Anolis sagrei: one gene and its partners. The protein of the gene in region 3 binds, or shares a complex with, the protein of the main gene of each other region. Links are inferred from orthologs where the notes say so. Each region holds a gene or a part of one and is shown on either strand. Other genes may lie near its edges.

Evidence for each region. Proteins that work in one complex are often made in the same cells at the same time.
Region 1: CWC22 (region 3) and PLRG1 share a complex: the UniProt entries of both Homo sapiens proteins name them as parts of the minor spliceosome. The link is inferred for Anolis sagrei from reciprocal best matches to the Homo sapiens genes CWC22 and PLRG1.
Region 2: CWC22 (region 3) and RBMX2 share a complex: the UniProt entries of both Homo sapiens proteins name them as parts of the minor spliceosome. The link is inferred for Anolis sagrei from reciprocal best matches to the Homo sapiens genes CWC22 and RBMX2.

Annotation. Positions count from the first base shown.
Region 1 is NC_090025.1:52,015,671-52,026,614, forward strand, and holds the start of PLRG1 (pleiotropic regulator 1), read right to left. Parts: upstream 4,060-10,944; 5' UTR 3,909-4,059; coding exon 3,900-3,908; intron 1-3,899. UniProt on the Homo sapiens protein: Involved in pre-mRNA splicing as component of the spliceosome. Component of the PRP19-CDC5L complex that forms an integral part of the spliceosome and is required for activating pre-mRNA splicing.
Region 2 is NC_090030.1:10,483,489-10,494,029, forward strand, and holds the start of RBMX2 (RNA-binding motif protein, X-linked 2), read right to left. Parts: upstream 4,060-10,541; 5' UTR 3,993-4,059; coding exon 3,988-3,992; intron 1,044-3,987; coding exon 928-1,043; intron 833-927; coding exon 781-832; intron 138-780; coding exon 8-137; intron 1-7. Other genes in the region: RAB33A (ras-related protein Rab-33A), read right to left, coding at 10,118-10,541. UniProt on the Homo sapiens protein: Involved in pre-mRNA splicing as component of the activated spliceosome. As a component of the minor spliceosome, involved in the splicing of U12-type introns in pre-mRNAs.
Region 3 is NC_090021.1:188,702,104-188,712,493, reverse strand, and holds the start of CWC22 (pre-mRNA-splicing factor CWC22 homolog), read right to left. Parts: upstream 4,834-10,390; 5' UTR 4,775-4,833; intron 2,874-4,774; exon of another isoform or gene 2,828-2,873; intron 2,067-2,827; 5' UTR 1,965-2,066; coding exon 1,938-1,964; intron 1,090-1,937; coding exon 1,022-1,089; coding exon of another isoform or gene 1,015-1,021; intron 1-1,014. UniProt on the Homo sapiens protein: Required for pre-mRNA splicing as component of the spliceosome. As a component of the minor spliceosome, involved in the splicing of U12-type introns in pre-mRNAs. Promotes exon-junction complex (EJC) assembly.

The DNA.
Region 1 (10,944 bases), on a different chromosome or scaffold from region 3:
GCTCTCACATCCGTAGGTGACTACAGGGAATACCATGGCTTTGACTAGGCGGATCTTTGTTGCCAGTCTGATGTCTCTACTCTTTACTATTTTATCGAGACTGGACATTGCTCTCCTCCCAAGAAGTAAGCGTCTTCTGATTTCCTGGCTACAGTCTGCATCTGCAGTCATCTTTGCACCTAGAGATACAAAGTCTGTCACGGCCTCCACGGTTTCTCCCTCTATTTTCCAGTTGTCAATCATTCTTGTTGCCATAATCTTGGTTTTTTTGACGTTTAGCTGCAACCCGGCTTTTGCGCTTTCTTCTTTCACCTTGATTAGAAGGCTCCTCAGCTCCTCCTCGCTTTCGGCCATCAGAGTGGTGTCATCTGCATATCTGAGGTTGTTAATGTTTCTTCCAGCAATTTTCACCCCAGCTTTGCATTCATCCAGCCCCGCACATCGCATGATGTGTTCTGCATACAAGTTAAAAAGGTTGGGTGAGAGGATGCAGCCTTGCCGTACGCCTTTCCCAATCTTGAACCAGTCTGTTGTTCCGTGGTCAGTTCTGACTGTTGCTACTTGGTCCTTGTACAGATTCCTCAGGAGAGAGACAAGGTGGCTTGGGATGCCCATCCCACCAAGAACTTGCCACAATTTATTATGATCCACACAGTCAAAGGCTTTAGAGTAGTCAATGAAACAGAAGTAGATGTTTTTCTGAAACTCCCTGCCTTTCTCCATTATCCAGCGGATATTGGCAATCTGGTCTCTCGTTCCTCTGCCTTTTCTAAACCCAGCTTGAACATCTGGCAACTCTCGCTCCATGTATTGCTGGAGTCTTCCTTGCAGGATCTTGAGCATTACCTTACTGGCATGAGAAATAAGGGCCACTGTACGGAAGTTGGAGCAGTCTTTCGCATTTCCCTTTTTTGGTATGGGGATATAAGTTGATTTTTTCCAGTCTGATGGCCATTCTTGTGTTTTCCATATTTGCTGGCAAATGGCATGCATCACCTTGACAGCATCATCTTTTAAGATTTTAAACAGTTCAGCTGGGATCCCATCATCTCCTGCTGCCTTGTTGTTAGCAATGCTTCTTAAGGCCCATTCAACCTCACTCCTCAGGATGTCTGGTTCTAATTCATTCACCACACCATCAAAGCTATCCTCGATATTGTTATCCTTCCTATATAGATCTTCTGTATAGTCTCGCCACCTTCTCTTGATCTCTTCAGCTTCTGTTAGGTCCCTGCCATCTTTGTTTCTTATCATACCAATTTTTGCCTGAAATTTACCTCCAATGTTTCTAATTTTCTGGAAGAGGTCTCTTGTCCTTCCTATTCTGTTGTCTTCTTCCACTTCCATGCATTGCTTATTTAAAAATAGTTCCTTATCTCTTCTGGCTAACCTCTGGAATTGCGCATTTAACTGGGCATATCTCCCCTTTTCACTGTTTCCTTTTGCTTTCCTCCTTTCTTGGGCTACTTCCAGTGTCTCAGCAGACAACCATTTTGCCTTCTTGGTTTTCTTTTTCTTTGGAACGTACTTTGTTGCCATCTCCTGAACAATGTCACGGACTTCTGTCCATAGTTCTTCTGGGACTCTGTTTACTAAATCTAGTCCTTCAAATCTGTTCTTCACTTCCACTGTATATTCGCTAGGAATGTTAGTGAGATCATATCTAACTGGTCTGTGTATTTTCCCTGATCTCTTTAGTTTTATTCTAAATTGGGCAATAAGAAGTTCGTGATCTGAGCTGCAGTCAGCCCCAGGTCTTGTTTTCACGGACTGGATGGATGTCCGCCACCTTTGGCTGCAAAGGATGTAGTCAATCTGATTTCGGTGTTGACCATCTGGTGAGGTCCATGTATAAAGCCGTCTTTTAGGTTGTTGGAAGAGAGTATTCGTTATACACAGCGAGTTTTCCTGGCAGAATTCTATCAGCCTGCGTCCCGCTTCATTTTGTTCTCCCAGACCATGCTTGCCTGTGATCCCAGTTGTCATTTGACTTCCCACCTTGGCATTCCAGTCTCCTGTAATGAAAATAATGTCTCTTTTTGGTGTATTATCCAGTAGGTCCTGCAGATCCTCATAGAACTGATCTACTTCTGCTTCTTCAGCAGCTGTGGTTGGGGCGTATATTTGGATCACTGTGATGTTGAAAGGCTTTCCTTGCACTCGAATTGAGATCATTCTGTCATTTTTTGGGTTGTATCCAAGCACCGCTTTAGCGAATTTCTTATTAATTATGAAGGCTACTCCATTTCTTCGATGTTCCTCTTGTCCGCAGTAGTAGATCTGGTGGTCATCTGATGTGAAGTGGCCCATTCCAGTCCATTTCAGTTCGCTGACCCCCAGAATGTCTATCTTTAGTCTTGACATCTCACCAATAACAACATCCAATTTGCCCTGGCTCATAGATCTTACATTCCAGGTTCCTATGGTGTGTTGATCTTTAGAGCATCGGATTCGTCGTTCACCTCCAGTACCGTCGGCCGCTAGCCTTCCTTTCGGCTTTGAGCTAGCTGCGTCATCACATCTGGGGCTAGTTGAACTTATCCTCTGCTCCTCCCCAGTAGCATTTTGGCCATCTTCCGACCTGGGAGTCCCATCTTCCAATGGCATACCGACATATCTCTGATTGTACTGGTCCATTTAGTTTTCTTGGCAAGGATACTGGAGTGGTTTGCCATTGCCTTCCCCAGGGATCACGCTTGGTCTGACCTCTCTGCCACAACCGTCCCGTCTTGGGTGTCCCTTCACGGTTTCGCTCATGACATCATTGAGGTGCTCAAGCTCCAGCGCCCCGACAAGGCGGCGATCCTTTGCTGGAGCCTTCTATCTTAACGTTCAGGAAACATGTGAAAACTTGGCTTTGGGGATTGGCTTTCGACGAATGAGCCATGACCCTGTGATATGGATGGATGACGACGAATAATGATTTTTGATGACGACTGACCACTGTAATCATATGACTGTATTTTAATGTTTTAGTGTGATTTAGAATATGATGTTTTAATGACTGTTTGCAATATGGATGTTGGAAACCAGCCTGAGTCCCTCGAATGGAGGTGAGAATACTGCTAAATTTTGTGTCAATTTGTCCAGTGGTTTTTGAGTTATGTTAATCTCACAAACGAACATTACATTTTTATTTATATAGATAATTACTACTTATAATATATAATAATATACTGTACTCTTATTGTATATTTGAATTTGTAATATTTTTGATTGTGAGGCACTTTGAGTCTCCATATCGAGAGATAAACCAGGATATATATATATAATTATATATATATACACACACACAATTGGTTTGGGAGATTCTGGAGGGGTGGGCAGACCGGGGAAGGAAGATATTGCAACTTTCGTTACCAGCTGAGCGTCTCTTATCCAGAATTCCTGAAATCCAAAATACTCCACAATGGTCCACATCAATGGCTGAGACTGTCACCTTCATACACTTTAATTATTTAAAATATCGTAAGCAAAATCACCTTAGGCCTATGTATAAGGTCTATACAGAACATAACTTAATTTCTTGTTTAAGCTTGAGAGATCTCGCTGCTTTTTTTCAGTCTAAGCCAGGCATGGGCAAACTTCGGGCCTCCAGGTGTTTTGGACTTCAACTCCCACAATTCTTAACAGCCGGAGGCTGTTAGGAATTGTGGGAGTTGAAGTCCAAAACACCTGGAGGCTCGAAGTTTGCCCATGCCTGCTCTATGCTGTAAATACAAATTATTCCGAGTGAAAACACGCCCAAGTGGAATAACAGATAGCAACGAAATACTCCTGAGACAATACAGAAACCACCAGCATCCTCCCGCGCCATCCCTTAAACTGGTCTTCATTCCTTAAACTCCGGCAGCCCGGCATTTCAATGCCCGGCCAAGAAAGAGTCCTTTTTCCCTCACCTCCACCATCTTGTCGTCTCGTCTCCACAACTCTTCCCGCCACAACGACCCAGCTCCTTCAGCAGAAGCCTTCCAGATCCAACGCCGAACCTACTTCCGTTAGTCACCACAGAGCACTTCCGGTGCTTTGGAGGTTTTCTTCTTTACCCTGAAGGAACTGACGACACTCTTCTCCGCAGCGCATGCGCAGAAGAACCATGCGGTCTTAAGTGGCGGGGAAATGGGGCGGAGTCCGGATCGACTACGTCATTCGCTCAAGGGGCGGGGCTTAGGTGAAGCCAAAATAGCAAAAGTGAGTTGTAAGTGGTAGAGATGGAGTGTCCTGCAGTCAGTTATTATTTGTATACCTTTTCCCTACAAAACAAGGCAATTCATCATTCTGGAATGTTTTTATTCCCATCCCCAAAATATATACAGTCTTAAAAGTATATAATTCTGGATTATATTTCTTTATTTTGCACTTTGCTCTGAAAACATTTAAAAAAATTGGTTCCAGACTGATAAACTTTTAAGAGTGTGTGCAAATTATTAAATCCATTCCAGAATAGTAAACTCTTAAGAGTGCATTGCATTATTATTATTATTACTACTATTTTGTATATATAGCAAAATTTAAATAATGTATAGTTTGTTTTAGGTGTATTTAAGTGTAACATCTATATAAATAAAAATGTAATGTTCGTTTGTGGGATTAACATAACTCAAAAACCACTGGACTAATTGACACCAAATTGGGACACAATACACCTATCAGGTCAACAAGTGACCATCACTGATAAAAAACACCTTAAAACACAGCAGAAGAGACTTAAAAAGACAGAAATAAGAATTACATTATACACAAAACCACATATATACACAAACTCACATATATACACATATACACAAACACCGAACTTGGAGGACAATCTTACTCGGACAAGGAGGGATCGCCTAAGTAAGTAAGTAAGTAAGTAAGTACACAAACATATATACACACACAAAACACATATACACAGACTGGGCCACAGCAACGTGTGGCCCAGGGGATGGCTAGTGTGTTTTATAGAAATTCATTTTATTGTAATTACTTAGGTGATCCCTCGTCCGAGTAGGATTGTCTTCCAAGATGGGTGTTCTGGCAGTGGGTTCGTAGGTGACTGTGGAGCCCTATTCATGATCTGCATCTTCTCCCACGGTGAGGGCATTGGTTTCCAGGTGGAAGGCGGTCCTGGTTGGGGTTGGCTTGACACGCCTTCCTCTTAGCACATTTCTCTCTTTCGCCCTCCATTCATGCCTCTTCAAATTCTACAGCAGTGCTGGTCATGGCTGACCTCCAGCTAGAGCACTCACGGGCCAGGGCTTCCCAGTTCTCAGTGTCTATGCCAGAGTTTTTAAGGTTTCATTGAGCCCATCTTTAAACCTCTTTTCCTGTCCTCCAACATTCCCTTTTCTGTTCTTGAGTTCGGAGTAGAGCAACTACTTTGTGAGACAGTGGTTGGGCATTCGGACAACGTGGCCGGTCCAGCGGAGTTGATGGTGGAAGACCATCGCTTCAATGTATTTTTAGGTTGTTATATTTGAAAAATGAACAATAAAATTATTTACAATCTTTATGTGTTACAATTATACTGTAACCCACCTTGAGACACAAGGAGAGGCAGGTAAGAAATAAAAATATATTATTCATTGGGGGGGGGGGGATTTCAAATAAATACATTCCTGAATTAAAAACTATTAAAAGTTGTGCACTTTTTGAAACAACAAGAAAAAAAATTTCCAGCATGATAAAATGATAATAGTGTCTGTATTTGGGGAATGGGGTGCAAATAATTAAATCCATTCCAAAACAGTAAACTGTTAGGAGTGTACCGAATTTTCTTTAAAAATGGAAATTGTTTTTTATATTTATTCAGTCGCTTCCGACTCCTTGTGACCTCATGGACCAGCCCACGTCAGAGCTCCCTGTTGGCTGTCACCACCCCCAGCTTCTTAAGAGTCAAGACAGTCACTTCAAGGATACCATCCATCCATCTTGCCCTTGGTCAGCCCCTCTTCCTTCTTCCTTCCTTTTTCCCCAGCACCATTGTCTTCTCTAAGCTTTCCTGTCTCCCCATTATGTGGCCAAAGTACATCTTTCTCTCTACTATCCTTCCCTCCAATGAGCAGTCGGGCTCATTGGAGGGAATGGTGCTAAAGGTGCTAAAGAGAACCTCTCTTTAGAATGGTGTAAACAACCTGATGTGGGGCTTCCAAAACCAGATGTGATCCTTTTTCTTCAACTGAATAGATCTGAAGCAGCCAAACGAGGAGACTTTGGAAGTGAGTGATATGAGAACAGCTCTTTTCAAGAGAAAGTTCTGCAGTGCTACTATGATTTGATATGGACTGGTTGGATCTTCTTGTGGTCCAAGGCACTCTCAGAATTTTCCTCCAACACCAGAGTTCAAAAGCGTCTATCTTCCTTCGCTCAGCTTTCCACATAGTCCAGCTCTAGTATCCATATGTTACTTTGGGGAATACCATTGCTTTAACTATTCATATCTTCATTGCCAGTGTGATGTCTCTACTCTTCACTATTCTACCGAGATTGGTCATGGCTCTCCTCCCAAGAAGTAAACATCTTCTGATTTCCTGGCTGCAGTCTGCATCTGCAATAATCTTTGCGCCTAGGAATACAAAGTCTGTCACTGCCTCCACATTTTCTCCCTCTATTTGCCAGTTATCTATCAGTCTTGTTGCCACAATCTTGGTTTTTTTGATGTTTAACTGCAACCCAGCCTTTGCACTTTCTTCTTTCACCTTGGTTAGAAGGCTCCTCAGCTCATCCTCGCTTTTGGCCATCAAAGTGGTATCATCTGCATATCTAAGGTTGTTAATGTTTCTTCCAGCAATTTTAATTTCAGCCTTGGATTCGTTTTTTGGAAATACATTACAAAAAAATTTAATAATGTATGGTTTGTTTTAGGTGTATTTAGGTATAATATGTTCATTTTATAGAAATTTATTGTATTGTATTTTTACAATGTTTATGTGTTTCAATGACACTCTAACCCACCGTGAGACAAGGAGAGGCAGATAAGAAATAAAAAGTTGTGCATTTTTTGAAACAACAAAAAAAAGAAACTTCTGGAATGATAAACGGAGAAAGAGAAGGCGAAAGATCTTGTAAAAGTACAACTTCTGTGAATCTCTAGCATCGAGTCCTGGCAGTTAAAGTGGTATCAGTGTAGGTAAACCGTTATTCAGCACAATTCTTTTTTTTTTTTTTAACCATCTGGCCCTGGAGCTTTATTACTTTTGGCAGATCGTATTGCCTCTTCTATTTCTTCTATTCTGATTGTTTTTTCTCATGAGAGCTGCAGAGATGTGTGTGTGAATGTAGGCATGTATGCATATGCATATATATATATTTGCATGATTTTAAACTTAAGCCACAAAAGGATGCTAACTCTAGCAAACCCTCTGTGGCCCCTTCCACACAGCTAAATAAAATCCCACATTATTTGCTTTGAACTGGGAAATATGGCAGTGTAGTCTTAGTTCAAAGCAGATACTGTGGGATTTTTTTGCCCTGATATTCTGGCATATAGGGCTAGATTGGGATGCAGAAGCCATGGCTGCCAGATTACTACCAGGCCCAATTCAAAGTGCTGGCTTTGGCCACTAGCTGCAGTGACAACCTCTGAACAGAAGAGTGCATGAGATAGCTATTAATTTGACAACTTGGGAAAACTAACAGATATCAGATAATCAAGTGGTGGAATTGGTCCTCTTTGAATTACATTTTAGAATGTAATGTCCTACACATATTTTGGAAAAGTGTGGATTAATCTCAAGTAAGTGTGTATAGGATGCCATCTTCATTGTTTCCATAGTTGTGATCCTATTCATATTGTGTTGGAAGTAACTTGAGTAATTGAGAGTTCAGGGTGCATGTACACTGTAGAATTAATGCAGTTTGACACCACTTTAACTGCCATAGCTCAATGATATGGAATCAGGGGAGCTGTAATTTTACAAGATGTTTTGCCTTCTTTACCAATGAGTGCTGATACCAACCTACACTTCCCATGATTCCAGACCATCAAGTCATGACACGTGTGTATACCCATCAACTGTACCCTCAGTTGATGGGTATACACACTTGCAAACACACACACACACACACAGACACACACATATACACATACAGGCAGTCCCCAAATTCCAAACAAGATGGATTCTGTAGGTTTGGTCTTAAGCTGTCCCATCCCCCCTAAACACACACACACACACACACAACCCCACCAGACCAGACTTAAAAACCCAAGAAAAGACACCATATATACATATACACATACACTCATATACATATACACATGCACACATTAATACACACATGTATATATATGCACAAATACACACAAATATACACATATACACACATATATAATACACATGCACATATACATATGCATACACACAAATTTGCTTATAGACAAACACACACATACATAATATGCATGTACACATATAAATACACAAATATATACACACACATATATACCCCCACATATATACAAACACACATATATAGACAAATATATACACACAAAACACATATACACAGACTGGGCCACAGCAACATGTGGAAGGGGACTATATATCTATATATATAAATTTGTTAGGGGCATCCATCGAGGAAACAAAACTCAAAAAACCCCCAACGAAACTTAACCAAAATTCCCATGCCCATAACACAACCCACAAGGTACAAACATATCTACTCAAAATGAAAAACAACACAACAACACACTCACAAAACGGCAAAACAACAAAACTAAAAAAAACCCCAACGAAACTTAACTAAAACCCCCGTGCCCATAACACAACCCACAAGGTACAAACATACCTACTCAAAATGAAAAACAACACAGCAACACACTCACAAAACGGCAAAAGAACAAAACTCAAAAAAACCCCAACGAAACTTAACCAAAATTCCCATACCCATAACACAACCCACAAGGTACAAACATATCTACTCAAAATGAAAAACAACACAACACACTCACAAAATGGCAAAACAACTGAGCATGCGCATTGGCGCCCAGCCGCAAGTTCCCTGGCGCGCGCACATGGCCTTCCGGCCAACGTTCCCTCTGCGGAAACCATGCCCACTCCAAGCCCTGCCGCGCCGCTTCCCGCACACACACACACCCTGCCGCACACACACACGCAACCCCACGCTCCATCACTCCCCCCGCCGCCGCATACACACACGCAACCCCACTCCCCCCGCCGCCACACACACACACGCAACCCCACGCTCCATCAGTCCCCCCCGCCGCACACACACGCAACCCCACTCCCCCCACCGCCGCACACACACATGCAACCCCACTCCCCCCGCCGCCGCACACACACACGCAACCCCACGCTCCATCACTCCCCCCGCTGCCGCACACACACACGCAACCCCACGTTCCATCACTCCCCTGCCCCAATCTTACCTCCTTTTACTTCATGCCACCTCCAAACCCCACCCCGCCCCTTCCCGCCCTGTCAAAATCTAGGAAAGACAGGAAGGAAGGAAAGAAGGAAGAAAGAGAAAGGGAGGTAAAGAAAAAGGGGGAAGGAAGGAAAGTTAGAGGAAGAAGAAAAGGAAAGAAAAGAAAAGGAAAGATGGAAGGAAAGAAAAGAGAGACAGCAGAAGAGAAAGAAAAAGGGGGAAGGAAGGAAAGAGATAGAGAAAGAAGAGGAAAAGGAAAGATGGGAAGGAAGGAAGGAAGGAAGGAAGGAAGGAAGGAAGGAAGGAAGGAAGGAGGAAGGGAGGGAGGGAGGGAGGGAGGGAGGGAAAGAGGGAAGATTGGCCACAGCAACACGTGGCGGGTAAAGGTTGTTATTTCTATTATTATTATTATGCTATTGTTCCTATGAGACCCTTTTAGGGGGAATGGGAGAGGTGTCAGGTCCCAGAGGCAATGCACTGCATTATTGTTATTGTTAGGATGGTGGTGAAATAAAAGGAAATAAAAAGTGAAAGAAGGAAGCAAACAGGGAGGGAAGAAAGGCAAAGGAAGGAAGGGGGAGGGAATGAAGGAAAGAGAGAAGGATGAAACCAAGTAGTGAAAGAAGGAAAGAAAGAAAGAGGTAGAGAAGGAAGAAAGGAGAGAAAGGGGGAGGAAAAGGGGGAAGGAAGAGGTAGGGACCTCTCTTTCATAATAGTCCAGATATCTACCTCAACTTTGATAAGTTTTACTATAGGCCACAGCAACGCGTGGCAGGGCACAGCTAGTATATATATATATATATATATATATATATATATATATATATACATACACACACACACACACACGAGATTGATAGATATATAGCACTTTGGGTAGAATAAGGAAGGGTTGACACCCCCGTAGTTTGTTTTGCTGCCTGTGACCCTGTTCAGAAGATCTCACATGACTTTCTGTCCTTGTGATAACTGGGTTTTTAAAAAAATACCTTGTTCTTCTGGAAACACGGATTGATGATAAAGCTCCAGTGGAGACCCCTTTTCCCCATGATATCTCCTCTAGGAGTTAATTTCACTTCTGAGGGACAGATTTCTCTCATTTCCTGTGGTCTCACCCCCCTGTTTTTAACTATGAGTTGTTTGTAAATCGGATATTTGTAATTCGGGGACTGCCTGCATAGGTTTCCACTCTTAGAAAAAGCCCTTTAGTTGTCTTTTTGTGCTATCACTGCCAAATCCCCAATAGATGGGTTGCTGTTTCTTTAAAAAGAGACAGACTGGTCCAATTAGCCATAGGGCCCTTCCACACAGCCCTATATTCCAGAATATCAAGATAGAAAATCCCATAATATCTGCTTTGAACTGGGTTATGTGATTTCCAGCCTTGAAATTCTGGAATATTGGGCTGTGTGGAAGGGCTCATAGTTGCCATAAATGTTCAGATTACAGTATTTATTTTGGAAACAAACATCCTCAAGATATCCTTTGATTAAATAAGGTTCACATTTTTGGGAAAGCTTTGAGGAGTGATTTTTAAAGGACTTGAGTTAGTCCTGTACTACATCTTGCAAC
Region 2 (10,541 bases), on a different chromosome or scaffold from region 3:
CACCCACCTTTATCCCGTTGAAATTATCAACTGCAAGGATGGTGCTTCGCTGATCTTCATAGCAAATGAAGCAGAAACCTTTGGATTTCCCTGTCTTCTTGTCACGAACCAGGTTTATGTTCACAATCTCCCCATATCTGCAGAGAAAGGCAGTAACTTCAACTTTTCCACTTTCAAAAAAAGACCAAGCAGAGTCAGTTTAACAAAACACAAGTGCTAACATACAAAGCTTCACAACATTTTCTGATAGCAATGTGGTCAAAAAGCAGATTCCGAAACTTGTATTTGCTAAATTATTATACCTACAGCTAAAAGAATATTTATTTTGCATATTGCATATTGAGAAACCCTACAATATGCATTTACCTGAGGGTCAGTCCTATTAAACTCAATGTGTCCTGAATTTGGCCCTGCCCAGCGAAATCTTTTTTGTTTTAATGTCTGATTTCATATTGTTGTGTTGCTTATTAAATTGTTTTGCATTTTATGTATTTTATTTTTTGGTTTTATTATGTTCTTGTGTTATATTGTTGTGCATTGTATTGATGGGCGTGGCCTCATGTAAACTGCCCTTGGGGGAGATGGAGCGGGGTATAAAGTTTTTTTTATTATTGTTATTATTATTATTATTATTGCACTAAGATTTTTTTAATAATCATGCAAACTATATCTATCTATCTATCTATCTATTTAATTGCTGTTTACTTTGATTTTATGGGAAACATTATTAAAAATCTTAAATAAACATAATCTTGGTGTATTAGACCTATTTTTACTTACTGTGAAAATACACAGATAATATCCCCTTCTGTCAGTTCATATGGCAACCCCCCTAGAAAAAAAGAGAAGACATTAATAAAGATTTGAATTTTAAAAACACAAAGATAATTCAATGTAATTATCATATTCCAAGAACATGGCACGCACCCACAAACACCCAAGCGCTATCGCTGTATTCCGAATGCCAGGAAACCTTATCTTGCACTCCCAGCTGTGCTTCACGTTCATTCAGTTCGTTGATCAGCTTCACCTTAGTAAGTGGGCTAGAAAAGGGTAAAAACAGAAAAGGGGAGCTGAAACCAAAAGCCACACTGCATATCCCACACCTGACTTGGGATAATTGGGGTTCTCAATATTTATATTTATTATGTTAGGATCATAACCTATTGGATAGCAGAATTTCAGAAGCGCTCTTATAGTTTATTGGGTAATGGATGATCACTGGGCGTGTAAATATCTTGTTTCTATTCTATGCTCTCAGCAGACAAAGATTCAAGTAGACTTCTTTACAATACTCATAACTGCATGTATTTAAATATATAGGCACATTTCTTATCAAGTTAAACTTTAAACATTTCAGTTTGTATCTTTAACTTAATAATCTTCAACAGTCTCTTCAAAACTATATCGCTCTGGACAGCTCTCTTTCATAACAGTCTACTTCCAAGGGACTCAAACCTTAACAGTCTTCTAACTTCCTACACTGGCTTCTGTACGCAAGCTGATTCAAGCCTCAACTGTCATTCCTCAACTGCCATCCTTTTAAACTTCATTCTAAGGAGTCACCGAACCAGTCACATGGTCTATAGCCCCTCCCACTGCCTCTAGTACATAAAGCTAAGAAGACTGCAAACCAAAGAAGACATACACTACAGGAAATAAACAACACATTATAAACAGACAAAACATTAAAAAGAGGAAGCTTGAGAAGGTTGCTATCTCCAACTATATTACTTCATTTTCATACCACCCTTTCTCCATGACTCAATTTGCTACATGGCTTTCTATTATGTATTTATTTGCTGAAGGCAACTCAAGGCAGTTTACAGGCGGCACAATTCGATGTCTCCAACAACATAAAACACAATTTAAAACATTCAACCTATAATATAAAATCAAATAAAACGAATAAAAGCATAAGTCCTCAGCGTCTCCTTACTAAAATAATTTTCGACTTGCCTCGTCTAGTCATTCTATGGATCTAGATTTGCCAGTTACACTGCATTTGCAAATGCTTGCTCAAAAAGCCAGGTTTTAACTTTCTATTAACCATGACCCAGGGTGCATCTAAACTACTGAATTAATTCAGTTGACCAGGAGCCGCTGGTGACATAGTGGGTTAAACCCTTGTGCTGGCAGGACTGAAGACTGACAGGCCTGAGGTTCGAATCCAGGAAGAGCGCAGATGAGCTCCCTTTGTCAGTTCCAGCTCCTCGTGAAGGGACATGAAGGGACTACTTATAACTGTTGACGTTATTTTGTAATTTTGTATATTGTATTTTGTGAATTGTTGGGCATCGAATTGTGCCTTTTGTAAGCTGCCCTGAGTCCCCCCTAGGGGGTTGAGAAGGGCGGGGTAGAGGCACCCCAAATAAATAAATAAGTAAATAAGGATGATAAAACATCTGGATGTCCCTGGGCAACGTCCTTGCAGATTGCCAATTCTCTCACACCAGAAGTGACTTGCAGTTTCTCAAGTCACTCCTGACATGAAAAAAAAAGAGTTGACGATAACTGCCATGGCTTATTCTGTGTAATCATGGGAGTTATCATTTGTAAGACTATTAGCCAATAATAATAATAACAACAACATTTTTAATTATGTTTTAATGTATGCATATTTGTATATTTTGAACAGTGTGGTCATACTTTTAATTTAAGCCGTTTTGAGTCTCCTTCAAAAGAGATAAAGTGGGGTATAAATAAACATAAACATAATAATAATAATAACAACAACAACAATAAGAGACACTTGGACCTAATGTGCATGTGTGCTGTAACATTATGTACATGTAAATAATAATAATAATAATAATAATAATAATAATAATAATGTTTTTGTCACACACTTTCCCTTGAGATGGGGTACAAAATGATTTGTTTTACTAACTTGTTATGGTTGATATTATATGTTAATATTTTAAAATGTTTTTATGATGTTGTTGGGCATTGAATTGTTGCCTTGTGAACCGCCTCAAGTTGCCTGCGGGCTGAGAGGGGTGGTATATAAATATAGCAAATAAATAATAATAACAACAACAATACCTTCTCAGTGGTGGCCCCCCACCTGTGGAATTCACTCCCGGGGGAAATCAGAACAGCACCAACCCTCCTCTCCTTCAGGAGGAGGGTGAAGACATGGCTGTGGAACCAAGCCTTTGGGCAACCAGACAATTAGACAATGACAACCAAATAAGACAATCAGATGTGTGAGATCGGCAGGATTGTCGAAATGGAACCAAAACAGATCTTTGAGTTAATTGTACACTGATGGGTAGGAGGAAGTTCCAGGTTTGTATTGTTTTTACTGATTTTATCATTTTACTGATTTTATTGGATAATGTTGAATTGTGGGAATTTGTACTGTTATATTTTTTGTGATGATTGTTTGTGTAGCAGGCGTCTAAGTGCGCCTTGCAGCTGTAAGCCGCCCTGGGTCCCCTTCGGGGTGAGAAGGGCGGGGTACAAGAACCCCAAATAAATAAATAAATATAAATAAATACTGTCAAAGCACAGCAACATAAAACACATACAAGAAAATACATATATTAAAATGCATTGTTTGTTTATTTATTTATTTACCATATTTATATACTGCCCCATTCAACCCGAAGGCGACTCGAGGCGGTTGATAATGATGCATTTGATAATAATGCCTAATGAATGCATTATTATCAAATGCATATATTAAAATGCACCACTATAAATACATATATTAAAACACATCACTATAAAATACTTATATTAAAATGCATTACTAAAATACATATTTTAGAACACATTACTATAAAATACATATCTTAAAAAGCCAAACTGTACAATGATTAAAAATACAGTAAGAATAGAATGCCAATTTAAAATTGCCAAGGTAGGTTAAAGACCTTGTCAAATTTGTCCAACTCCCACAGTTCCATAACACCGAGCCCTGGCAGTTAAAGCGGGCTCAAACTGCATTAACTCTACAGCGTAGATGCACCCAAAACTTACTTCATCTTGGTTTCTCTTCCTGTGTGAGTTTGCGCATGCGCGCTACTTCCCGGCAGGCTTCGGCGAGCGTCAGGTCGCGTCCTCTCTCTGGATAGGTCGAGCCTTCTCCGGGAGCAGCCAATCACGATCGTCCCTTGCCTCGTGCTCTTTGCTGCTTTCACGCGCCGCTTTGGAAGCCGAGATACTGCGCATGCGCAACCGCAGCTTTGTTGATAGTTCCAAAAGGCTGGCAGCTCAGAGATTTCCTTTCTTTTTTTGGCCCTGAAAAGTGTCATAAATGCGTCTAATGCAATTAAATCTCAAACCTCATATCTCACAATAATTAATGCATGTAACTCCTAATATACATTACAACACTGAATTTAATAACTAAGGGTGCGTCTACACTGTAGAATTAATGCAGTTTGACACCACTTGCATTACTATGGCTCAGTGCAATGGGATCCAGTCCCTTCCTAGCAAAAAAGCCATCAGATTTTAACCAAGGTGTGTATTTGATCCTATTTTAATATTTATAGTTTGGAGGGAGAATTTATAATAATTTACAATAAATTTATAATATAATGTAGTATAATTTATTGTATATACATGTAGTATGTATAATATTATAATGTAATGCAATATACTACTACTAATATGATATAATTTTATATTTATATTACATGTAATATTAGTAATAATATTACAATATAATGGTATAGTACAAAATAGTAATATTCAATATCGACATTGTACTATGCTAATAATATAATATATTGTATGTATATATACCTTGTAAGCCGCTCTGAATCCCCTTCGGGGTGAAAAGGGCAGCAGAGGAGGGTGCCCAGAGGAGGGCGACTAAAATGATCAAGGGTCTGGAGAACAAGCCCTATGAGGAGCGGCTTAAGGAGCTGGGCATGTTTAGCCTGAAGAAGAGAAGGATGAGAGGAGATAGGATAGCCAAGTATAAATATGTGAGACGAAGCCACAGGGAGGAGGAGGGAGCAAGCTTGTTTTCTGCTTCCCTGGAGATTAGGACGAGGAACAATGGCTTCAAACTACAAGAAAGGAGATTCCATCTGAACTTCCTGACTGTGAGAGCTGATCAGCAGTGGAACTCTCTGCCCCGGAGTGTGGTGGAGGCTCCTTCTTTGGAAGCTTTTAAACAGAGGATGGATGGGCATCTGTCGGGGGTGCTTTGAATGCAATATTCCTGCTTCTTGGCAGAATGGGGTTGGACTGGATGGCCCATGAGGTCTCTTCCAACTCTATGATTCTATATAAATGTCGTAAATAATAAATAAATAAATATTTGTATATTTTAAATTGTTGGGAGCCACTTTGCATCTCCATGTTAGATCTAACAGCAGAATAGAAATAATAATATAATAATAGTTTTCATTTGATGTTTATGCTAAAAAAATAAATTACTATTGTTTTTATCTAGTCCAACCCCTATCCATGCAGGAAAAGCACAATCAAAGCACCCCCAACAGATGGCCACACCAGCCTGTTTAAAAGCCTCCAAGGAAGGAGCTTCCACCACACCTCGAGGCAGAGAGTTCCACTGCTCAACAGCTCCCCTTACAGTAAGAAAGCTTTTCCTAATGTTCAAGTAGAATATCCTTTCCTGTCATTTGAACCCATTGCTCCAAGTCCTAATTCCAAGGGCAGCATAAAACAAGCCTGCCCCCTCTTCCTTATGACAGCCTTTCAAATATTTATACTCTCGTGTCTCCTCTCAACCTTCTCATCTGGAGGCTAAACAGACCTAGCTCTTTAAGACGCTCTTCAAAGGTATATATGGTCTCTAGATTTTGAACATTTTAGTCATCTTCCTCTGGACATATTCCACTTGTCAATATCTCTCTTAAATTGTTTTGCCCAGGATTGAACGGAGTGTTATTCCAGATGAAGTCCGAGCAAAGCAGACTAGATGAGCACCATGACTTCCTTTGATCTAAATGCTATACTCCTTTTTGCAAGATTTTTCATATCAAAAAACGAGAGAGAGAGAAGCAGCAGTGGAAAAACACAAGAGCACTGGACTTGCACAGCTATGGAACTCTGCTGTAGCATTTCAGTCAACAAGGCAGGCCAATTAAAACCTTGTCTGGAAGTGGACACCCTATTGATCCGCCTGCAGCCGGCAGAGGAGGCCATCAGCAGGGAGCCATGAACAGCCTGCTTCACAAAGGGACAGGGAATGACCTTTTTGGCACACAATGGTATCATTGGTGCCTGAGGAGCTGAGTCATTCAGGACTCACCAGCAGCAGTCTTTTTTCCCTCAATTTTTCGGATCTGAGATGTTTCCTTCCATCTTGCCAGTCATATTCAAACCTGGATTGCTGCAAGTTTTCTGGAGTGTATGGTCATGTTTCAGAAGCATTTTTTCCTGACGTTTCGCCCATATCTATGACAGGCATTCTCAGAGGTTGTGAGGTTTGTTGGAAACTAGGAAAATTGGGTTTACATATCTGTGGAATAATGTCCAGGGTGGGAGGGTGAACAGGTGGGAGAAAGAACTCTTGTCTGTTGGAGGCAAGTGTGAATGCTGCAATTGGCCGGTTTGGTTAGCATTGAATAGCCTTGCAGTTTCAAAGCCTGGCTGCTACTTGCCTGGGGGAATCCTTTGCTGAGAAATGTTTCCAGACATGGAACAATCAGGGCCAGCTAATACTTCCCAACAAAGAATTGCCCCAGGCAGGAAGCAGCCAGGCTTTGAAGCTGCACAGCTATTCAATGCTAATCAAGGCGGCCAATTGCAACATTCACACATGCCTCAAACAGACAAGAGTTCTTTCTCCCACCCTGAACATAATTCCACAGATTTATGTTCTTGCCTAGTTTCCACAGAACTCACAACCCCTGAGGATGCCTGACATAGATGTGGGTGAAACATCCGGAGAGGATGATGATGATGATGATGATGATAATAATAATAATCTTTATCTATATCCCGCCACCAGCTCCCCAGAGGGGACTCAGGGCAGCTAACATGAGGCCAAGCCCAAATACAACACAACAAAATAAAATACAGAATGCTGAAAACAAAAAATTACATCAAAATAAAATAATGTACAGTAGCAAAATAGGATAAATAAAACAAATTAACACAGGCCAAATGGAGGAGGTAAAATGACAAAACCCTGGATGAAGTAGGAAAGAAAATATGTAATTAAGGGGAACCCAAAAAGGCTAAACAGTGGGGTAGGCATTCAATTTAGGACTGGGGAAAGTGCATCATAGGGGCAACACTATGGAGTGCTTCAGGAATATGGCCATACATCCTGGAAAACTCACAGCAACCCAGTTATTCCCGCCATGCAAGCCGTTGACAACACATATTCAAGCCACTGTATTTTCACTTTCCCATCTCTTAACCTCTCAGTATCTCAGGGATTGGACTAAATCAGTGATGGGCAACCTTTTGAGTTTACTGTGTCAAAATTTGCCAAAAACCTGAGCATAACTTGGGTGGGGTGTCAACTTTGAGGAAAAAAAACATAATGTATATTCCATGCTGAGTTATGGAGTGAACAATGCTCAAACGTGCAGATGTTAAATTTGTAGAGCCTTTTACAGATTTAAGAATGGAATTAGATTGGCTCTTATAAGGTGTACTTCTCTGTATGCGGCCGCATGTGGCCGCGTGTCATCAAAAATAGCTATGCGACGTGTCAGTGCTGACACGCGTCTCATAGGTTCACCATCACGGGACTAGATGGTCCATGTGGTCTCTTTCAACGCTATCATTCTATGATTTTATTATTCTCTGGGAGGGAAAATAAAAAATATTGAGGTACCCTGCCTCTGGTCCTGAACAGCCCTCCAATAGAAACAGACCGTTCTATGCCAACTAGGCATTTCCTAAAGAGGATTTGCATGATGAGCAACGTGGGAACAACGTTCATACTACAGTTCCCATTATACTCCATCAGTATAATGTCCCTTTACGTCCCACCCGGAGTTTAAGATTGGCCGGGGGGGCCCTGCTCTCGACCCCGCCAGTGTCACAAGTGAGGCTGGCGGGGACGAGGAGCAGGGCCTTCTCGGTGGCGGCTCCCTGCCTGTGGAACTCGCTCCCCGGGGAAATCAGAACAGTGACCTCACTTCTCTCCTTTAGGAGAAAACTCAAAACTTGGTTGTGGGACCAAGCGTTTGGTCAATGAGCAGGTGAAGAATGGATACCATCTAGGAAAGGTATAATGGATTGGAATCTGGAACCCGGAAAGACAAATGCTGAACACGTGAATTGTTCTATATGCTGTGTTACTGATTGTTAATTTGCATCGTTGTTTTAACCATGATAACTGTTTTAATTGTTTATTATGATTGTCACTTGTATAAATGTAATTGTATGGGTGCCGAATGGTGCCTCGTTGTGTAAGCCACCCTGAGTCCCCCCTCGGGGGTGAGAAGGGCGGGGTATAAGTGCTGGAAATAATAATAATAATAATAATAATAATAATAATAATAATATCCATAGAAAACAGTGTATAGAAGGGGTTCCCCTATATCACCTTTAAAGCAAACACAGCAAAACATTTTATGCAATCCGAAAGAACAGAACAAACACCTTGGCGAAAGCTTGTGTGTACCATGGCCCATTTAATCAGATCCGTATCACGAACTACCGTTGTGAAGAGCACTTTGTCAATCTAAAGCATTACAACAGCTCGGTTATAAATCATTCTTTTGCAATACCTGCGTGAACTTACTCACACACAAATGCCTCTTAAGTGGGGACACTCCACACGTTAAAATAAATGAGATGAGAACCGGAGGTTTGCAAGGTGCAACAAAACATAACCCTTCCACACACAAAAATTGACAGTGCAAGTTTGGGATGGTGGTATCAGACTGACATTTATAATTTTCTTCTTGGTGCAATTGACTGCCTGAGATAAGAATGAATTCTCCTTTAAATTTAAAGCATTCTAATTCTCAGGGATGTTTCAGGTTCTTGCACTTGCAGAGGGTTGGTCTAGATGGCCCTTGGGAGCCCCATGATTCTATGGAATCACCCAGAAACTGACCAGTAACCCCCGGTCCATGTTTTATCTACTTTTGTGGCTCGTCCACAAACCCATGTGCTAGCATTCAAAGAGGTGAAAACACACAAGACATATATTTGCTTTTCCAGGCTCATCAAATCCATTTGTCTTCCTCAATAGTCAAGGGTCCCTTCTACACTGCTACCTTGAGTACCGCATCTCGGCCTACGAGCCCACGAGGACCTTAAGATCATCCGGGGAGACCCTTCTCTCGGTCCCGCCTGCCTCGCAGGCACGCTTGGCGGGGACCAGAGAGCGGGCCTTCTCCGTGGTGGCCCCCCGGCTGTGGAACTCCCTCCCTGCTGAGGTTAGACAGGCGCCGTCCCTCATGGCTTTCCGTAGGGGCTTGAAAACCTGGCTCTTTGAAAAGGCCTTTAATTAAGTGCTATGTTTCTTTTGTTATGACCACCGGAATGGATTATGACGACGAGATGGATTATGACCCAAACAAGACGAAGCGGATTTTTAGTTTAATTAGTTGTGTGTTAGTAGATGTGTGTTATGTTCCTAATTATTGTAATTGTTGTCTTTATGTTCTATGTTTTGTACACCGCCACGAGTCGCCTCCGGGCTGAGAGTGGCGGTTAACAAATGCAAATAATAAATAAATAATAAATAATAATAATAAATATATAAAATCCAGATTATCTGCTTTGAACTGGATTATATGGCAGTGTAGATTCATATAATCCAGTTCAAAGCAGATAATATGGAGTATCTGCTTTGATAATCTCGATTATATGGCAGTATAGAAGGGGCCTAGCTCTTCCGCTGTGAATCTACATTTCTCTATGGGGCAAAGTGATATATCAATGAGTTTCGATAATGCATTGCACGTCCCCATTCCCCTTTTGCAGGGAAACAACCGGGCTTGACTCCATGTAGTATTCCACACTATGGTTAATCCAAACAGGGAGAAACAAAACAGTTGAAAATGTGATATTGCTCCATCCAAGCCAGTTGTGATCCTTATGCATTTTATTATTCACTTGACATTAACTTAGTTGGAGACAGACAGTCTCCGGTTCCAGTTTGTTGAGGCACGGGGCAGGTAGGAACGAGGCAGGGCGGGATGGCCAGCGCAGCAGTTCAGCAAGGACAGGTGTTTTTGCTGCCGGCCTCGGGCGTGAGCTGTGCCTTCTGCCCCCTCCCCGGCTGCCTCTCCATGTCCCGATACAGCAGAGACTTCTGAGCCTTGAGCCGGCAAGCGAGGCACATGAAGATCGACTCCACGTTCTGGCTCTCCTTGGGGTCCTTGGCGGAGGTTTCGAACAAAAGCATGTTGTGAGCATCTGCAAATTTCAGGGCCAGGCTGGAAGGCACCTGGATCTGGTCCCGCAAGTCACACTTGTTGCCCACGAGCACCTTCGGGACGAGGGCCGGGACGGCGTGGCCGTTGCACTCCTCAATCCAAGTCTTCAGGTTGAGGAAGGATGCCATCTTGGTGACGTCGTAGACAAAGACCACGGCATGCACGTTGCGGTAGTAGTGCTCCACCATGCTCTTCCGGAAA
Region 3 (10,390 bases):
AAGTTGTTGTCATTATTATTATTACTGCTACTACAACTACTATGTATGGCCTTTCTCACCCTCCTTAGATTGAAATCTGCTAACAGGACTCACACAGGAGTAGAGTGTGAGTAGACATAACAATACAGGCTGTTGTTCAACGAACAAGAACTGTATGTGGAAGCAGCTTTTTACCACAGACTGACCCCCTCTTCCATTTTAAGGTGTACACATATGCATGTGCGTGCCATGTCAGAGACAGAAGGTTCTCAGATCTAGAGCCTGAGGTTTCAAGGGCAATACACATGTCAGTTTGCATCATTTCATGGTAGTGAAGGAATTGTTCTGGAATATGACTTTGTTCGTCTATTGCGTAGGGGGAAGGGTTATGGATGTACGAAGCAGCAGACAGGCATTTCACTAATGCCGCCATGGTTTGTTAGAGTGTCAGATGTGTGTTTCTACAGAGGTACTGTTTCATTTGCCTTCTCTTCACAGCTAATCTGCCTCTTGAGAGCAGTTTAAGTTCTTATTGTTTTAACACATAATGCATTTGATGAAATATTCTAACACTGTTAATAGCTCAGATCTATTGCTTTAGTCCCTGCAGTGATTTTAGCTTTTGTGCTTGTGGTTATATTTTTTAGTATCCATTCTCAAAATAATTGACTGTCCCTAAACCAGTATCCTTAGATGTAATCCACATGTATACTAAATGAAACTATTCAAAAGAATATTATTGAACTTTAGTTATGTGGGATGCCAAGTACAGCATTTCCAGGTTTAACTTTGGCATATATCATTAATATGGACTCTCTAAGAATCTCCAGGTCCTCCAATATGATTGTATAGTCAAGTTCCAACAGATGTTGACCACAGAATTGCACAGGAAGACCTAGAGATTCCTAGAGAGATATTATCTCAGTTGGAAAAAAAAACACTGTTTAATGTTCAGCCTTCCCACTTTCAAGGGTGTCCTGTGTTCTAACCCCATTGAATGTGGAGGGCTATCAGTAAAAGGAAAAAAAAAACAACCTTTTACCTGTCTTCTGGAGACAAACTTCTCTGTCGAAGATTGTTAGTTTCTCTCCTTTCATAACTGGAACTGGACTATAAATACAACAAATTTTAAAATTAAAGTATAAATACATCGGCCAGAGCGCAACATGTATTCTAAGACCTCCCCATTACATTCCCTTGCACATGAAAGAAAGCTGTTCATCAGATATACAGAGTGGTGTAGAGAGGCACTTGATGTTGGACAAAAAGACTCCAGTCAGAAAAGAAAAAACACCATTCCCTCCTACCATCCACTTGCCACTCATGAAGTGGTTTTGAGAATCTAGTCCATGGATGGGGAACATGCAGCTCTCCAGATGTTTCTGGATTTCAACTCTCATCATCCCTCACCACTGGTTATGGTGACTAGAGTTCATGGGAGCAGCAGTCCAATAATTAGGAGGAGTCGGTGTTCCCATAGCTCACTTCTAAAAGAACTCATTTACACTGGATACAACATTTCCACCTTTTCTGCAGGTTGAATCTGACTCACTATGGTTTCAAAGAAATGAATGTTAATTGAACATAACTGAAATGAACAGGTCCTAGTTATATCTCCTCCAATATCAGATGGGATTTGGTGCCAGCTAGATAAAATGCCAAGAATCAGTCCTCTTTTTTTTAAGAGCAGCACATGCATATCTGGCTGCTCTCTCATCTTCTGCACACATAAAAGTGTTCATGGTTCTCAATGAGAATGTGAATAAGCAGGGAAGCAGACTCCATTTAATTTTTCTCCTCCGCCATCACTTTACATGGCAATACACAAAAAGAGCAGGAAACTGGTCACTCATTCCATTACCTTGTTCCTTCTATGAAAGAAGTAACAACCATCTTCCTTGCCAACCTGCAAAGCCAATGAAGCCAATGCCAACCTGCAGAGCCAATAAAGAACTTACATTCACCTGTGTCACCCCACTCTTCATTTTTCTTCCTCTTGATCCACTACAAGCTTTGAATTGATAATGAACAATGTGCAGAAATCAAGTTGAAGGATATTTGTTATTCTTCCAGGCAAAACAGTTCATCTGTAAATAAAAAACAACATCTTTTTTAAAAAAAACACCAGAAAATGCAACTAAGGCAATTTTGCAAGTCTCCTATTTAATCTAGACCTATTATAACCTGTCAAAAATGTTCATAGATTAAAAATACCCACAAAATTATTTTCTTGGTAATTCATTAGTCAGTGTGTGTAGAAAATGATGTGGAGCCACAAAAAATGCAGAAGTGCAAAAGACAAGGCAGACAGAAAGAAAGGCACACCATGCCATAGATGAAAGATGTAGTTATGGGTACAACTCACACGGCCAGATTACAGCTTGGAGGGGTTAGATATCGGAAAACTGGTTTGCATTTACTGATCTCACATACATTCACATACATATTCACACAAATTGCGAGAAATGAGCAAGTCAGCACATCCGAAGTGACACGTCGCAGAAGAAATTATTCCATGGCATTGAGAGGTTGAGGAAAGAGGAGGCAAAGAAGCATATTCACCCAACCCTGCAAAACAGCCTCCAATTTAGGGAAGCCAGACTGAAAACTAGAGAGGGCTCCTATTCCTTTAATGGCTGTGTAGAAACTTCAGGAAGTTTTTGACTGTTACCCAGCTATGGGGCAAGTAACATCTACTGAAATTCCCTCTTCTATATGTTCCAATAACAGTAAAGAAACAATAACATCTGCATAGCCTGACATAGGGTGGTGGAGGTTGTTGTTGTTAATTACTACAAAGTCAACTTTGATTTATGGTGACCCCATGCATAAAAGGCATGCAACTCACCCTACTATCCACAACAGCCCTTGCAGACTCAAGGTGGATCTACAATCTATATAAATAAAAATGTAGTGTTAGTTCATGCTGCCATCAGAACTCAAAAACCACTGGGGGAATTGACACCAAATTTGGACAAAACACCTAACAGTCCAATGTATGTCCACCACACAAAAAAAATTGATTTTGTCATTTGGGAATTGTCGTTGCTGGGATTTATAGTTTACCTACAATCAAAGAGCATTCTGAACTCCACCAATGATGGAATTGGGCCAAACTTAGCACACAGGGCTCCCATGACCAACAGAAAAAACTGGAAAGGTTTGGTGGTCATTGACCTTGAGTTTGGGAATTATAGTTCAGCCACATCCAGAGAGCACTATGTACTCAAACAATGATGGATCTGGACCAAACTTGGCATGAATATTCCATATGCCCAAATATGAACACAGATGGAGTTTACAACAGAAAATACTTAAGGCCATCCAGTCCAACTCTCTTCACCAGGGCAAGAAAATGTAATCAGAGCCCTTCTGACAAAGACCCATCCAGTCATAAATATAGATAGATAGATATGATTCTCTCACACACAGATATAGTATCATAGATTTGAAAGAGACCCTTAAAGAAGGACAATGTCCATGTTGCATATTCCAGAGTAAGCAAACCAGACACTCTCCACATCAACACTGACAAAGAAACAACAAGAAATACTGTTTACTCACAATCATAAAGGAAATACATATATTAGAAACCAACACTTTCTCATGACTTTATTTTCCAGATCAACAGACTGGGTCACTGCAACACGTGGCAGGGGACAGCTAGTCCTATATAAATAAAAATGTAATGTTCATTTGTGGGATTAACATAACTTAATAACCACTGGACGAATTGACACCAAATTTGGACACAAGACACCTAACAACCCAACGTATGTCCTTCATGCAAAAAATTGATTTTGTCATTTGGGAATTGTAGTTGTTGGGATTTATAGTTCACCTCAATCAAAGAGCATTCTGAACCTCAACAACGATGGAATTGAACCAAACTTGGCACAGTTCTCCCATACTGGAAGGGTTTGATGGGTAGTGTCCTTTGGTTTTGGAGTTGTAGTTTTCCTACATCCACAGATCACTGTGGACTCAAACAATGATGGATCTGGACCAAACTCTACACGAAGACTCAATATACCCAAATGTGAACACTGGTGGGGTTTGGGGAAAATAGAATTTTGACAATTGGGAGTTGTAGTTAGAATCAAAGAATTGGAAGAGACCTCATGGGCCATCCAGTCCAAACCCCTGCCAAGAAGCAGGAATTGCTGGGATATATAGTTGCTGGGATATATAGTTCACCTACAATCACAGACCATTCTGAACCCCATCTATAGAATTGGGCCAAACCTCCCACACAGAACCCCCATGTGGGCCACAGCAACGCAAGGCTGGGGATGGCTATCACCATATAATTCAGATTATCAAATCTGCTTCAGGACCCATTGATTTGTCTTTTTGGCTATGCAAGAAGTGTAGAACACACTTTGACGTGTTTATTTTCTTCCTCTCAGCTTTCTTCGCTACAGTGTAGGTTTAATGAGGTGTGACACAACTGTAACTGCGATGGCTCAATGCAATGGAGTCGTAGTTTAACAAGGCCTTGAGCCTTCTCGCCTGAAGAGCGCCGGCGCCTCATCAACCCACAGCTCGCAGGTTTCCACCGAGTCCTGGGAGTTCAAGCGGCCTGGGGAGTCAACTTGGGAGAGGGAGTGGGAACTAAGGCGAACAGTGAACAGATGTGAAGCCTTTTCGCCCTCCCAAACGGGAAGGCCGTTGCCAAGCAACTCCTGTCCTTTTCCCGCCACCTCCCTTCGAACGGAGAGACAATGAAAGAGAGAGAGAGAGAGGAAGGGTCCCAAACTGAAACTTCCGCTTCCCTTTCTTCCCCACAACTTACCGTCAGCTCCAGAGCTCCGCCATTACTGAGCGCGCGAGCTGACGCTGCTGCGATGACGCCACTTCCGCCAATTCGCCTGCCAATCAGCTACAAAACAGAAGGTGGGACTTCCGGAAGGAATAAATATTGTATTTCTAGGCGGGGGGGGGGATCTGTGGCCCTAGTGACGTCACTAGGACAGAGTCAGCTCTAGAACTAAGCCATTTCTACTATTCACAAAGAAACTCGCGCGCACATGAGAACAAGAACTATATAAAAACAGAACAAAACATTATAAAATAACAACAAAACGCAGACACACAAACAAAGACTCCCTCCTTCCTTTCTGATGGTTATTTTCCCATGTTAATCTCGCTTTAAACGTCACTCCATGCAGTCATGCAGGCCACATGACCTTGGAGGTGTCTACGAACAACGCCGACTCTTCGGCTTAGAAATGGAGATGAGCACCAACTCCCAGAGTCGGACACGACTGGGCTTAATGTCAAGAGAAAACCTTTACCTTAATCTAGCTTTAATTTTATGTAAAGTGATTTTTGTTCCTGGGCTATAAAGTGTCATTTCCTAATTGGTTCTATCATCAAAACATGGGAAAAAGTTGATTAGACTCCACAACCTTTGTTTTGGCAGGACATCCTTAACCAAATCTAATGATTGTGCTGCTATGAATAAATAAATAAATATGACAATTGGGTTTCAATTATATGATTAGCGTTCAATGCTTATGGATTCCTAGCTAACATGCACATTTGTAAACAAATCATGTTTAGTCCCCTTCCAAAGGGATTCTTAGGCAAACATTTCTGCAATTTTTTTTTGTCGTTTCAGGAGTGTCCTGTTGTGAGAGAATTGGCTGTCTGCAAGGACGTTGCCCAGGGGAAGCCCGGATGATTTTTGATGTTTTTATCACCCTTGTGGGAGGCTTCTCTCATATCCCCGCATGAGGAGCTGGAGCTGATAGAGGGAGCTCATCCGCCTCTCCCTGGATTCGAACCTGCAACCTGTCCTGCCGGCACAGGGCTTTAACCCACTGCGCCACCGATGTATTCCTGTGTGTTCTCATGCAGGCCAAAGACTTATGTTGCTACATGTACACTGTAGATTTAATGCAGTTTGATCCCACTTTAACTACCATGGCTCTATGCTTTGGAATCCTTGGTTGTAGTTTGACAAAGCCATGTGATAATATGATTGCTGGGTCTGGAAGCTCCGAGTGTTACACTATTTCTGCTTCGCTCCTTCGAGAGCGCTGTTTGCGTAACACGGTACAGAACACGTGACCGAGACGGGGGCAGAGTGAGAGACTGAGGTAATATAAGCCAGGCCGGACACAGATATTATAGAAGGGATGTAAGACTTTGGTAATAGTATGATAGCTGGGTCCAGAAGCTCCAAGCGTTATGGAGATGCCACATCGCTCCTTCGGGAGCGCTGTTTGCGCAAGAGAGACTTAGCTAATGTAAGCCAGGCCGGAGACAGATAATATACAAGGAATGGAAGAGTTCTTTAATGGGGAAACCCTAACCCTGAACCGTACCGTAAGCCTAAGCCTAACCCCTTACCCAAACTCTAAATCTAACCCTTACTCTAAACCAAAACCTTACTCTAACCCTTACGCTAACCCAAACCCTAAAGTGTACCCTAAATGTAACCCCAACCCTCACTCTAATCATAAACCTAACCCAAACACAAACCCTAAACCTTGTCCTACCCTTTACCCTAAGCGTCCTCTCCTCTCTATCCTTCCCTCGCTCTCCCCGCTCTCACTGCTCCCTCTCTTCCCTTATTCACAGCCGCCTTGCAGCATCTCTGGAATGCTCGGAGCTTCCAGACCCAGCTATCATACTATAACCAAGAGTTCTTTAATGGTAAAACCCAACCCCAAACCCTAACCCTTACCCTAACCCTAAGCCTAATCCCTAACCCTGGAGCCCCCGGTGGCGCAGTGGGTTAAACCTCTGTGCCAGCAGGACTGAAGATTGACAGGTCACAGGTTCACAAATCCAAGGAGAGCATGGATGAGCTCCCTCTATCAGCTCCAGCTCTCCATGCGGGGACATGAGAGAAGCCTCCCATAAGGGTGGTAAAACATCAAAACATCCGGGTGTCCCCTGGGCAATGTCTTTGCAGATGGCCAATTATCTCACATGAGAAGCGACTTGCAGTTTCTCAAGTAATTCCTGACATGGCAACAGAAAAACAAAAAACCCTAACCCTAACTCTTTCCCTAACCGTAAGCCTAACCCCTAACCCTAACCCAAACCATAAACTTTATTCTAAACCTTATCCTAACTCTCCCCTCCTTTCTATCCTTCCACCAAATGCAGCTATGAAGTATATTCCCGCCCTCAGTGTGCCGTTCCCTCTCTGAACCACGTGGTCCCTTCCCTTATTCATTTCCTTATTTTATTCACAAATAAAAAATAAATAATCTTGTATAAATCAGTTACAGCCTCAGAGGAAAACATTGCACTGAAGTTCTAGCCTTGATTCCTTGGGACAGAAGAAGACAAGTCATGAAGTGCAGATGGAGCCCCCAGTGGCGCAGTGGGTTAAACCCCTGTGCCGGCAGGACTGAAGACCGACAGGTCGCAGGTTCGAATCCGGGGAGAGGCGGATGAGCTCCCTCTACCAGCTCCAGCTCCTCAAGTGGGGACATGAGAGAAGCCTCCCACAAGGATGATAAAACATCAAAACATCCAGGCGTCCCCTGGGCAACGTCCTTGCAGACGGCCAATTCTCTCACACCAGAAATGACTTCCAGTTTCTCAAGTGTCTCCTGACACGACAAAAAAAAAAAATGAAGTGCAGATATGAGTTAAGCATTTAGCAACTTGGCCAGGAGGACAGGGTGCTCACTGTTTTCACTGGTAGGAAACCAAAAGTCACCACAGAAAAAACACACTCAAATATTATAGTGTGGATCAAATATAGTAGATAGAAAGAACGTATTTTGGGTTGGATTATTCTTTTTGCAACCAGCCTTTCCCCCTTTCCCCCCCACATCTTATGTCCTCCCACAATGTATTGGCCTGACAAGTGGAACTCAAAGGAGGGCCCCTCCAGCAGACTTCAAATCTCAGGCCCACTGTCATCTATCAAGGTCCCAACGTGGTTTTAATGTTATTTCCAGCAGCTTGAATATAAACAGCCAGTGCAATTCCTTTAAAACTGGCGTCTTGCAGATTCTCGACTTTAGCTCTATTTTTCAGTTTGAAGTCAATAGCTGGGAAGTTGTTGCCATCTTAGCTGAGAAAATAAAACCTTTAGTTCAAAAAGGCCAAAATGTCAGCCAAAATGCACATGAAAAGCAATAGGATTGTAAGACTGGAACAGTAAAATAATAATGTGGCTGTATGCCTTTTCAGGATAGTATTTTTTCATGCAAGCCTTGTCTGGTGAAAATGCTGTGCTGCTAATTAGCATTTCCATTTGAACGCAGTGAGATGTTGCTGAAATTGCCACAGTTCAGTTGTCTCATAGAAGGACTAACTGTGTTAACACTTATCTCATAGGAGGAAATATAACACTTATCTCCTGAGATGCTGTAGCTATAAACCATTTTGCTGATGAAGCAGCAGGCACTTTCACCGCAGGAATGCTATCCCCTGCATTTCTTGTTTCTGAAAGGCAAGACTAAAGATGCTTCGGTATACAGAAACCACCTATGGAAGTCTGACTTTTTGAAAGAGAAGGAACAATTTGTTTGCAAAATACTCTTCCTGCAGCAGATGGCATATAATATGCCTTTGCCTTCATTGGACTCCAACGTCCTCAAATTATTATGAGAAGTGCCATTTACTTCATGGAGGTCAGCATCAGCAAAATGTTCCCAAACATTGTAATAAGCTCTCTGGGATTCTTTTTTCAAAACCTACCACAAACTTTTCTGCTCACTCATATCTCTGACCTTTTAAGAATAATTCCAGTTCTAACTTAGCTATCTCTTGCCAATGATTACTTTCCTACATAAAGCCTCTTCTGTCCTGATATACCAGTCAACAATGAAGAACTCTAATAAAAAATGATGAATAAGTATATCATCATCTTGGTTTTCCAGTTGCTTCACAGTACTTTGTCCTACTACTTCATCACACACATTAAATTCCACTGAGGTAAAGGTAAAGGTTTTCCTCTGACATTAAGTCCAGTCGTGTCCAAATCTGGAGGGTGGTACTCATCTCCATTTCTAAGCCGAAGAGCCAGCATTGTCTGTAGAACCTCCAAGGTCATGTGGCCAGCATGACTGCATGGCGTGTTGTTACCTTCCTGTCAGAGCAGTTTAGCAGCTCAGCAGTTTAACCCACTGCGTCACTGGGGGCTCCAAATTTTACTGAGTCACTCACTTGAGAAACAGCAACCTACTGTGTTCATGACATGACATAGACTTCAAATGTAAGGTAGAGATATCTTGGTGTTTTTTAAATGTTTTAATTTTTCCAGGATGAAGTGGAGCCATTGGTGAGCACCCTTTGGGTACAGTCACTTAACCAATGACAGATCCACCTAATAATAGCATTGCCTAGCCCACATTTGACTTGTTTACTTGCAAGAAGGTCATGAGGAACTTTGTTGAGGGCCCTACTGAAATCAAGATATGCTACATCCACAGCATTCCCTGCATCTACCAAGCTTGTAACTCTATCAAAAAAAGAGATAAGATTAGTCTGGCATGACTTGCTTTAGAGAAATCCAGGTTGACTTTTAGTAATGACAGCATTCCTTTCTAAGTGATTGCAGACTGCCTCCTTAATGATCTGCTCCAGAATCATTCCTGGTATTGATGTCAGGCTGACTGGTAGTTGTTTGGATCCTCTTTTTCCCCCCTTCTTGAAGATAGGGACAACATTTGCCCTCCTCCGGTCTGCTGGGATTTCTCCTGTTCTTCAAGAATCCTCAAAGATTATCACCAGTGGTTCTGAAACTACTTCTGCTGGTTCCTTCAATACTCTTCTCTACATAGGTGCCCCCTAGGGACACACATTTTTTGCATAGTTGCTCCAAAAGCCACGTTGTGACTTCAGAAATCAGAGTTTCACCTGAAAAATGCTTGCCCTTCAAAAGTAACTTCATTGTTGGAAAGAAGTGTAAGTTCAGTGGTACAAAGTTGAGTGAATAAGGGGGATGTGGAGGAATTTCAAAGTCACAGGAGCATGCTTCCATTGGGCAACATGTGAGTTGTAAACTGGTGCATTGTCTTGTAGAAGGCAGACACCTTTGTTGAGAATTGCACATCTTTTGGTTTCCATGGCCTCCCACAATTTCCATAGCAGTGGAGCATAGTATGCCCCAGTGATCATGGTAACCTTTGCTAGGAAATCCATCAATCCTACTCCGTGCTGGTCCCAAAATACTGTGAGCCTGACCTTGCCTGCCGAGAGTTGGGCGCATACCTTCTTTGGAGGCGATGAGTCAATGCATTGACAGGTCTTTAGTCTCAGGATCACAGTGATGGACCCAGCTTTCATTCTGTGTCATCAATCTGTTGAAAAAGTTCTCCTGGTTTCCATGGCACATCGTTACCCGACAGCATTTGGCTCGTTCCTGCTTCTGGAAAGGCGTGAGCAGCTGGGAAACCCAGCGAGCGGATACCTTATCCATGTGAATATGGTCTTG